2 linked regions of the Macaca mulatta genome follow. The main gene of each other region encodes a partner of the protein of the gene in region 2 in a complex. Links are inferred from orthologs where the notes say so. Each region holds a gene or a part of one and is shown on either strand. Other genes may lie near its edges.

Region 1 (4,033 bases), on a different chromosome or scaffold from region 2:
ACTGTCCTATGTAAGGAAAAGCAATGAACTCAAAACAGTAAAGAGCTTAACGCTTAAACCATTGAGAACTCAAGTTTTTTTTTAATTTTTTTTTAATTTTCAATTTTTGTGGCTACATAGTGGGTGTATTTAAGAACTTTTGAGACAGAACCCCCAATACAACTAGCACACAAAGGGAAAGCAAACCCCACGTGTTTCCCACACCAGGTTCTGCTTCACTTATCCTTAATCTCAGGTGCCGAGCACCGTGCCAGCAGAGTGGGCCCCATTAAGAGTTTACAGAATAAACAAACAGTAAAGAAAGGAGACCAAACTTCGGTGAGGAAGGTGAGGAGAAAGAGGAACCGTCTCAAGGTGGAAGAAAGGCACAAAAATCACAAGTGCCAGAAGTGCATTCCTTACTCTATGCATGCATCTGAAACATGCGTCCTGCACTTATGTCCGGTGTTGCAGGCAAGATTAAACCACTCCCTTAGGAGTGAAAAGTGTAGGAAGGATCCCCCGCCCCATCGCCCCTTGGATTCTCCAACTACTCAACTACTGAAAACTCTTAACAGAAGATACCTCTCCTTCCCTAGCACTTTGCACACAATAGGAGCTTAATATACGAAAGTGACTTCCCAATTTCAGCAAAAACCTTCGCCGATTCAGAAGAAAGCTTTCCCACCAGAATCCCGTCTCCAACGTTCTAGCTTCGAGGCTTGCAGCCGGTCAGTGGGCTCTTGCCCTCCTCGGGCCGGGTCGCGGGAGGGAAGGTTTCGGGGGCCTCCTTGCCCCCACCCGCGGGGTGCCAGGCCGAGACCCGCCGAGTAACTGCTCCGCCCCCCAGCCCGGTCCCCCAGGTCCCTGCCCCACCTGATTGGTCGCCGCTGTAATATTCCGAGTCCATGGCAGGCGGACTCTCAGCGGGGAGTGTCCGCGCCCCGCGCCGCCCCCGTCACCTCCTTCCAGGCGGTGTGACCCCGGAAGGCGCGGCTGAGTGTTCAGAGACTCCCGCCCGACCGGAGAACTTAACGGGTGCGGAGAGTAAGAAAGCGGCAGCGGCAACGGCGAATGCTTTGACCTGGAAGCGGAGGCAGGCTGGCAGGCTGGCAGGCAGGCAGGCACGCGAGCCGGCGCTCTACTTCCTAGAAGCACCGCTGGGGCCAAAATGGCGTCTGCCCACGACCCTCAAAGGAATGCAGCGCGCAGGCGCCGCAACCCGTCAACCGGCCAATGAGAAGACGCAACAGCACTGACGCCAAGGCACGGCCGGAAAGGAGACTCCTGGGAAAACTGAGCTGGAGCTCGGGCTTTAATTAAATACCTTGCTCGGGTGGATCCCGGTCTGGCCCCCGTGGAAATAACGTTATCGTTTATTCTTTATCATTTTCTAGATTCTGTGTCCGTGCCTTGTTTGAAGAGCTTTTGAGATACTCTTCCGAAAAATGAAGACCCGCTCAAATGACTTTTCCGTCATTCAGCCAAACCACGGTGGTTCCCGTCAGGCCCCGAGGCGCCTCGTTCCCGCCCGCAGTAGGCGAGAAAGCGAGCGTTGCTCCCTGGGACTTGTAGTACGACGACCGCGAGCTGTGATGCGTTACTAACTGGCGCGAGCCACGGCGCCTCCTCTCCCAGCGTCTTCCTCTCTTTCATCCTTGTTAAGAAGCTATTTGGCCAGCAGTAAGAAGTACACATCTTTGCTTCCAGAAGGGTTCCCCTGATGAAACACCGAGGAAGGTGAAGTTGAACTTTACCTGAGCCCTGTGTTCCTAGAAAACAGCGGTGATTAAGAAACCCCTTCGTCTATTTGTGTGTCTGGAACGGCACACTGTGAAGAACCACCCATCGCCACGTGACTCGGATAAAACGCGTGCAGATGACCCCCTTGTTTGCCTGTGACGAGGACAAACAGACCTTTCCCCTTTATTCTGAGCCTGTTAATAAAGCCAGACAGACCTTAAATTCCTGCTGCTGATAATCGAGTAATTAGTTGAGATTAGAACACTCCCCCGACCCCAAACTAGTTAGAGAATATTTTCTGTTCACCTGACTGAAATTTATCCTGATTGCAAAACAATCCCAACTGTCAGTCATTCCACCTTCCTCCCTATAAAAGGCAAAACTGCGCTGCCAAGACACTGATCGTCTCTGGAGTGCTCTCCCTGTTGAAATAGGCTGAGTAAAATCTATTTCCTTACTTGTTCATTTTAGTCTTGGACAGGGAGGGGAACATTCTTGACTTTTGATGGGAGGAGGGCCAGTAGAGGTTTAAGCAAAGATTCCCCAGGAGGTGTAGACATGTAGAAAAAGAGCGTTTTGTTACTACTACAGATATCTGACCCTTCGTTAGCCAGTCAGAGTATGCTGGCAGAGCCCAATTATAGGCTCCTGAAGAGGACGTGGGAAGAGAAGAAAGGGGAGAAGTGGTTTCTCTCTGGAAATTCCCATTTTCCTGCAAGAGAGTTCACGGATATTCTTTTCCGATGTGGTGGAAACAGCATGGAATCCAAATTCCTTATTTTCAGCTGTGGGAATGGCAGCTTCTCAGGCAGTCTTGAGAATCAGAAGAACAAAGAATGAGCAATGCCCGACACCAAATCACTTGATAGAAGATATCAAGGCTCTAAGCCCTCTTCTAAAGGTGAGAGTATACCTGTGTAAATGTAGAGTACACCTGTGTAAATGGAGCAGGATTAAAAGATGAAAATTCCAGGAAGAGTTTCGGTGGAAGAGAACCTTTTAGTTTCACCAGAGATGTAAGTCCAGCAGTCAGGAAAGTGGTTGGGTTATAAACAATGCAATTGCCAGATGATAATTACTGAATTTTAGCGTTAAAACTAACTGTACTGGTGGTTTGGAGAGTGGATAGAAACACTCTGGACACACAACAATGTTCTTAGCTCTAGAAGGCTGCAAAGAAGCATCAGATCTAACTTTTGTACTCAGAAAGTCAACAATTTAGTAAGACAGGACACCTCTTTCAAATGAATACAGAGCCTTAGTTAAAGCAGTGTGTTTATCAGTGGAAACACAGCTTACTGAGAGTTCCCAGAGCTCCTTCCTACCAGCTGGCTGTCCCTCCTGGATGCTGGTAGAGAAATTCTGTAGTGGCACAGATGTGTCTTTCTGAGTCTTGGCTGCCTTACATTTTCAGGACTGCCATCTCCCTACCCCTCACACCCCACCCCAGTGCAGTTGGCCCATGGCGGTGATTGGGAGGCACTCAGAAGAGAGGCTGTTTCCCACACCAAGGGTGCTAAGGACAGAGAAGGATGGAGGGGCAAACTTGCAGCAGTCCACAATGCTTCCTCCCTTAACAGATAACCCAGAGACACTGCATTCCCTAAATGAATGTAAGATGTATTTGGAGACACTCTGAAGACACTGCCATCTGCTGAACACGTAAGGGAGCAAGAGACCAAATAATATAAACAACAGCCTGGGAGCAAGAGACCAAATAATATAAACAACAGCCTGGCACCATCAGAGCTGTAGACTGGGGGCTTAGAGCCCTAGGTTGTGGCCCTATCACTGGGCTTATTGTACTTGGTGAGCCGGGACAAGCTACCAGTCTTCTATGAGCCTCAGTTTCCACATGTATCAAATGAGAGGGTTGAATCAGGTTTCAAGTCCTCTTAGCTTTTTTCTATGTCAAAGAAGCCAGGTCTCTAAGTCTGACCCAGCTTCTTGTGCTTGAGCCACTAGCAAGCCCTACCAGGGAAGACACAAACGAAACTTACTAGCTGTGTGACCTTGAGCAAGTTGCTGAACCTCTCTGTGCTTCAACGTCCTCACCTATAAGTTGGGGATAACAGTACCATTTATGTCACAGAGTTGTCATGAAGCTAAACGCACATATATAATTATATAATATGTTATAATTATATATATTACATGTATAATATTAAACATGATATATATAATATATATATATAAAATGATTCCTGGGACAGAATATTGTGAAATTAAATAATTCAAACTTTTTTTTTTTTTTTTGAGATGGAGTCGCGCTCTGTCACCCAGGCTGGAGCACAGCAGGTTGGAGTGCAGT
Region 2 (4,049 bases):
AAGATGGGAGAAGGAAACGTGAAGATGAACAGAAACTCAGGAGAATTATCAGCTAGGTGCATAACGTGGACCCTGATTCAAACAAACAATTGTTAAAAAAAACCCTTCAGAGACCATGGGGAATGCGGCATCCTGAACATTCGAGGTAGAAAGTGACCACTTTTCCCAGGTGTGACGACATTGTGGTTATGTTTTAAAAAGAAGAGTCCTTGCGGGCGTGGTGGTTCACGCCTGGAATCCCAGCACTTTGGGAGGCCGAGGCGGGCAGATCACCTGAGGTCAAGAGTTCGAGACCAATGTGGCCAACATGGTGAAACCCCGTCTCTACTAAAAATACAAAAATTAGCTGGGTGTGGTGGCAGGCATCTGTAATCCCAGCACTTTGGGAGGCCGAGGTGGGTGGAGGCCAAGGCAGGAGAATCGTTTGAACCTGGGAGGCAGAGGTTGTAGTGAGCGGAAATCGTGCCACTGCATTCCAGCCCGGGCGACAGAGGGTGACTCCATCTAAAAAAAAAAAAAAGGCCGGGCGCGGTGGCTCAAGCCTGTAATCCCAGCACTTTGGGAGGCCGAGTCGGGCGGATCACGAGGTCAGGAGATCGAGACCATCCTGGCGAACACGGTGAAACCCCGTCTCTACTAAAAAATACAAAAAACTAGCTGGGCGAGGCGGCGGGCACCTGTAGTCCCAGCTACTCGGGAGGCTGAGGCAGGAGAATGGCATAAACCTGGGGGGCGGAGCTTGCAGTGAGCTGAGATCCGGCCACTGCACTCCAGCCTGGGCGACAGAGCCAGACTCCGTCTCAAAAAAAAAAAAAAAAAAGAAGGATCCCGGCCAGGCACAGTGACTCATGCCTGAAATCCCAGCACTTTGGGAGGCTGGGGCGGGCAGATCACCAGGTCAGGAGTTTGAGATCAGCCTGACCAACATGGTGAAATCCTGTCTCTACCAAAAATACAAAAATTAGCCAAGCGTGGTGGTGGGCGCCTATAATCCCAGCTACTCGGGAGGCTGAGGCAGGAGAATCACTTGAACCCGGGAGGCGGAGGTTGCAGTGAGCCGAGATCTCGCCATTGCACTCCAACCTAGGTAACAGAGCGAGACTCTGTCTCAAAAAAAAGAAGCATCCCTCTCTTTCAGAGACACATGCCAAGATATATGTGGGTGATGTGCTGTGGTGTGCGGTGGGCACAGAGCCCTCTGTCTGCTGGTAGGTGGGGGGGGGGGCGGGGGCCTGTGCTGGCCTCAGGATTCTGCAATTTTCCTTAATAAAGCCGAAAAAAATGCCGCTGGTCAAGAAGTAGGATGTTGGGGGAGCGGGGCTGGGATGCAACTATTCCCTAATAGGGCGGTTGGGATTTCTCTGAAGACTGCAGACCTGAGCAGGTGGGGGAGGAGCGTGCCTGCGGGAGCTCTGAGGCTGCAGCAGAGCCTCCGCACAGTACATCTGGGTTTGACTCTCAGTGAGAAAGGAGCTGTGGAGGGCTGGGGTGGACTGGGCAGCCTTGGTTTACAGCGTCCACAGAGGCTGTTCCGCCACATGGAGTGGACTGGGACCGGCAAGGGGCAACAGGGAAGCCAGCGGGCCGGCTGAAAGTTTCCCAAAATGAGTGCTGGTGTCCCGGCCCTGGTGGGACTGGAGGTGGGCAGACGATGGATTTCTGGGTCGAGCTGGGGCAGAGCCAAGTGATTTACCAATGGGGAGCTTAGCGGGGGACGTGGGGAGGGAGGGCGAGTGGAAACCAAAGTGGTTCCAGTGGCTGGCAGGATAAAGGTGCCTCCCTTGTGGGGGCAGTGGTGGTTGAGGGAGTGGGTGGGAGTCGGGCACACTGGGTGGGGGTATCTGCTGGACAAGGGATCAGTGACGGGGATGCCACAGTTCAGGGCAGAGTCTGGACTGGAGGAAATGTGAGCATCACTCTCGGAGGGATGGCATGTGAAACCACACCCTAGGTGAGGTCATCAGAGACTGGCCCTGGACCGGCAGGGCAGAGCCCAGCTGAGGTGGCCTGGTGGGCGGGGAGAGTGGGGCAGGGACTCACCGGTGTGCCTCCGCTCTGACACAGCAGCTGAGCCTCAAGTAGTGAGTTCTCCTGTGGAGGCAGACGGGTCTGCAGTCACTGTCCCGCCCCACAGGTGGTGAGACTGAGGCCAAGGGGGCAGGCGCTGGCCCAGGGTCCCCATCATCAGTGGTCAGTGCTGAGGGTGTGGGCCCAGCCTTCTGGGGCAGGCACCACCAAGCATGGGTGTTAGTGGATGCCTGCAGGCATAGAACTCCTGGGCCCCCCGGGGAAGGTGTGGCCTGAGGATCCAGGCGCCCTTCTCCTGGGAGCCCCCACTCCCCACCCACCTGCCGCCCACACCTCGTAATCAGGAGACACGTTGAGAAACAGCTGGTTTCCCTGGATCCGAAATGCGAAGGGGGTGGACAAGGGTCCGAGGGTCACCTCCTGGCCCTCTGGGACATGGATGTCCACCAGCGGCTCGGTGACATTTGTGTTCTCCTCGACTTCAAAGAAGGACTTGTTCACAGAGCAGTCTGTAAGGTTGCAGAGGAGGGGTCAGCGCCTCCCAGCCCCTGGCTCCCCCTGCCCTGTGCCCCCACCTACCTACCCCTGCCCGCACGTACACTGGACCTGGGCCACGGTCCCCGGGGGTCGGCCAAGCAGCCCCGTGAGCAGCAGGGGAGGCCACAGCAGGGCCCAAGACCCCATCTTGGCGGCTGTCACCTGGCGGGAGGGTCCGAGTGGGTTTGGCGTCCAGGACTGGCGCAGTTCCTACCTCAGCGACCTTCGCCCCAGCCAGACGCCGCCCACTTTATGATCCTTTACAACCGGCCTCTGCCAAGGGGGCTCCCGCTGGCCGGCGGGTCCGGCCCACTGCCAGAAGGGGGGCAGTCATTTGGCCCAAGTTAGACTGAGTACAGGGATTAACCAGGGGGCTCAGGCCACAGGCACCGAGGCACAGGGCAGAAAGGACTAGAGAATGGCTCACGGGCGCCATGGGGCTGGGGCAGGGCAGGGGCAGAGCTAGGGTGTTGGAGAGAAGCCGTTGGTGTTGGGGTGTCTGAAACCTGCCTCCCTAGCCCAGGCTGCCCTTGCTTGGCTCCTCCCCTAAGCTCTACCTCAGGCAAAATTCCTAAGGCCAACCCTTGAGGCTCAGAACCTGGGTGTTCGCCCGGGAGTACCTCCCTGCCTGCCTGATGGCAGGTTCTGCAGGAAGAGACTCTCCTCACTGTGTCCTAGGGACACCCCTGCCTGCCTGCCCCAGAGACAAGCCAGCTTCTCAGGGTGGGGCTGGACAGGGCCTTAGTGACCAAGGCTAAGGCGGGGCTGTGGGGGGCAGCTGGGAGCTCCTGGGGAGCCCTGGTGCCCAACAGAGGGGGTGAGGTGAGTCTTGACACTTGCCCTGCTCTTTTCATTGGCCCCCGCAAGCCCCCAGCTCTAGGGAGAGGCCACTGGCTGGGGTCAGGGCGAGGAAGGGGCTGTCGTGAGGCGGGGAGTGGAGTCATTCCTCTCCAGGCCTGTGCACCGAAGCTTCTGGCCTCTCGTGGCTGGGGCTGGGCTCAGTGTCCCAACCCTGCACTGTACCCTCATGGTCGCCTGCAAGCCCTGCACGCTCCATACGCCACAGGCTCTGAGGGGTCAAGCCACTGGTCTGAGGCCACACAAGACAGAGGGTCCGGAGTCCTCATGCCAGAGTGGACTCCTGGCACCCCAGGTGACACCTCTGCCCTCCCCTCTTCCTGCCCGCCTGAGCCTCCCTGGCCCCTCCACACCCTCCCCACTGCCCCTTCCGGAAACACTGACCACACGCCACCCCCCACCCCCCTGCAGGAGCTGAGAGTCTGTCCGGGCTTCCCCTGAGCCCTTGACTGTTTCCTAATGAAGACAAGGGGGGGGCGGGGCCCTGCGGTGCTTAGTCGATGTACAGGAGGCGGCACTGATGCCAGAGATAAGGATGAGGGGCCCGCTGTGGCCGCCAGGTGTAAAGGGCAGCTGGGTGTGGTCACAGTCCCGGCTGGGTGGATGGGGCCCCCTTCCATCTGACA

Evidence for each region. The genes of interacting proteins can lie anywhere in the genome.
Region 1: CDHR5 (region 2) and MYO7B share a complex: the UniProt entries of both Homo sapiens proteins name them as parts of the IMAC/intermicrovillar adhesion complex. The link is inferred for Macaca mulatta from reciprocal best matches to the Homo sapiens genes CDHR5 and MYO7B.

What each region holds. Positions count from the first base shown.
Region 1 is NC_133417.1:9,752,228-9,756,260, reverse strand, and holds the start of MYO7B (unconventional myosin-VIIb), read left to right. Parts: upstream 1-1,233; 5' UTR 1,234-2,623; intron 2,624-4,033. Other genes in the region: protein IWS1 homolog, read right to left, coding at 856-889. UniProt on the Homo sapiens protein: Myosins are actin-based motor molecules with ATPase activity. Their highly divergent tails are presumed to bind to membranous compartments, which would be moved relative to actin filaments.
Region 2 is NC_133419.1:517,265-521,313, forward strand, and holds the start of CDHR5 (cadherin-related family member 5), read right to left. Parts: upstream 2,801-4,049; 5' UTR 2,713-2,800; coding exon 2,628-2,712; intron 2,538-2,627; coding exon 2,362-2,537; exon of another isoform or gene 2,349-2,361; intron 2,092-2,348; coding exon 2,041-2,091; intron 1-2,040. UniProt on the Homo sapiens protein: Intermicrovillar adhesion molecule that forms, via its extracellular domain, calcium-dependent heterophilic complexes with CDHR2 on adjacent microvilli. Thereby, controls the packing of microvilli at the apical membrane of epithelial cells.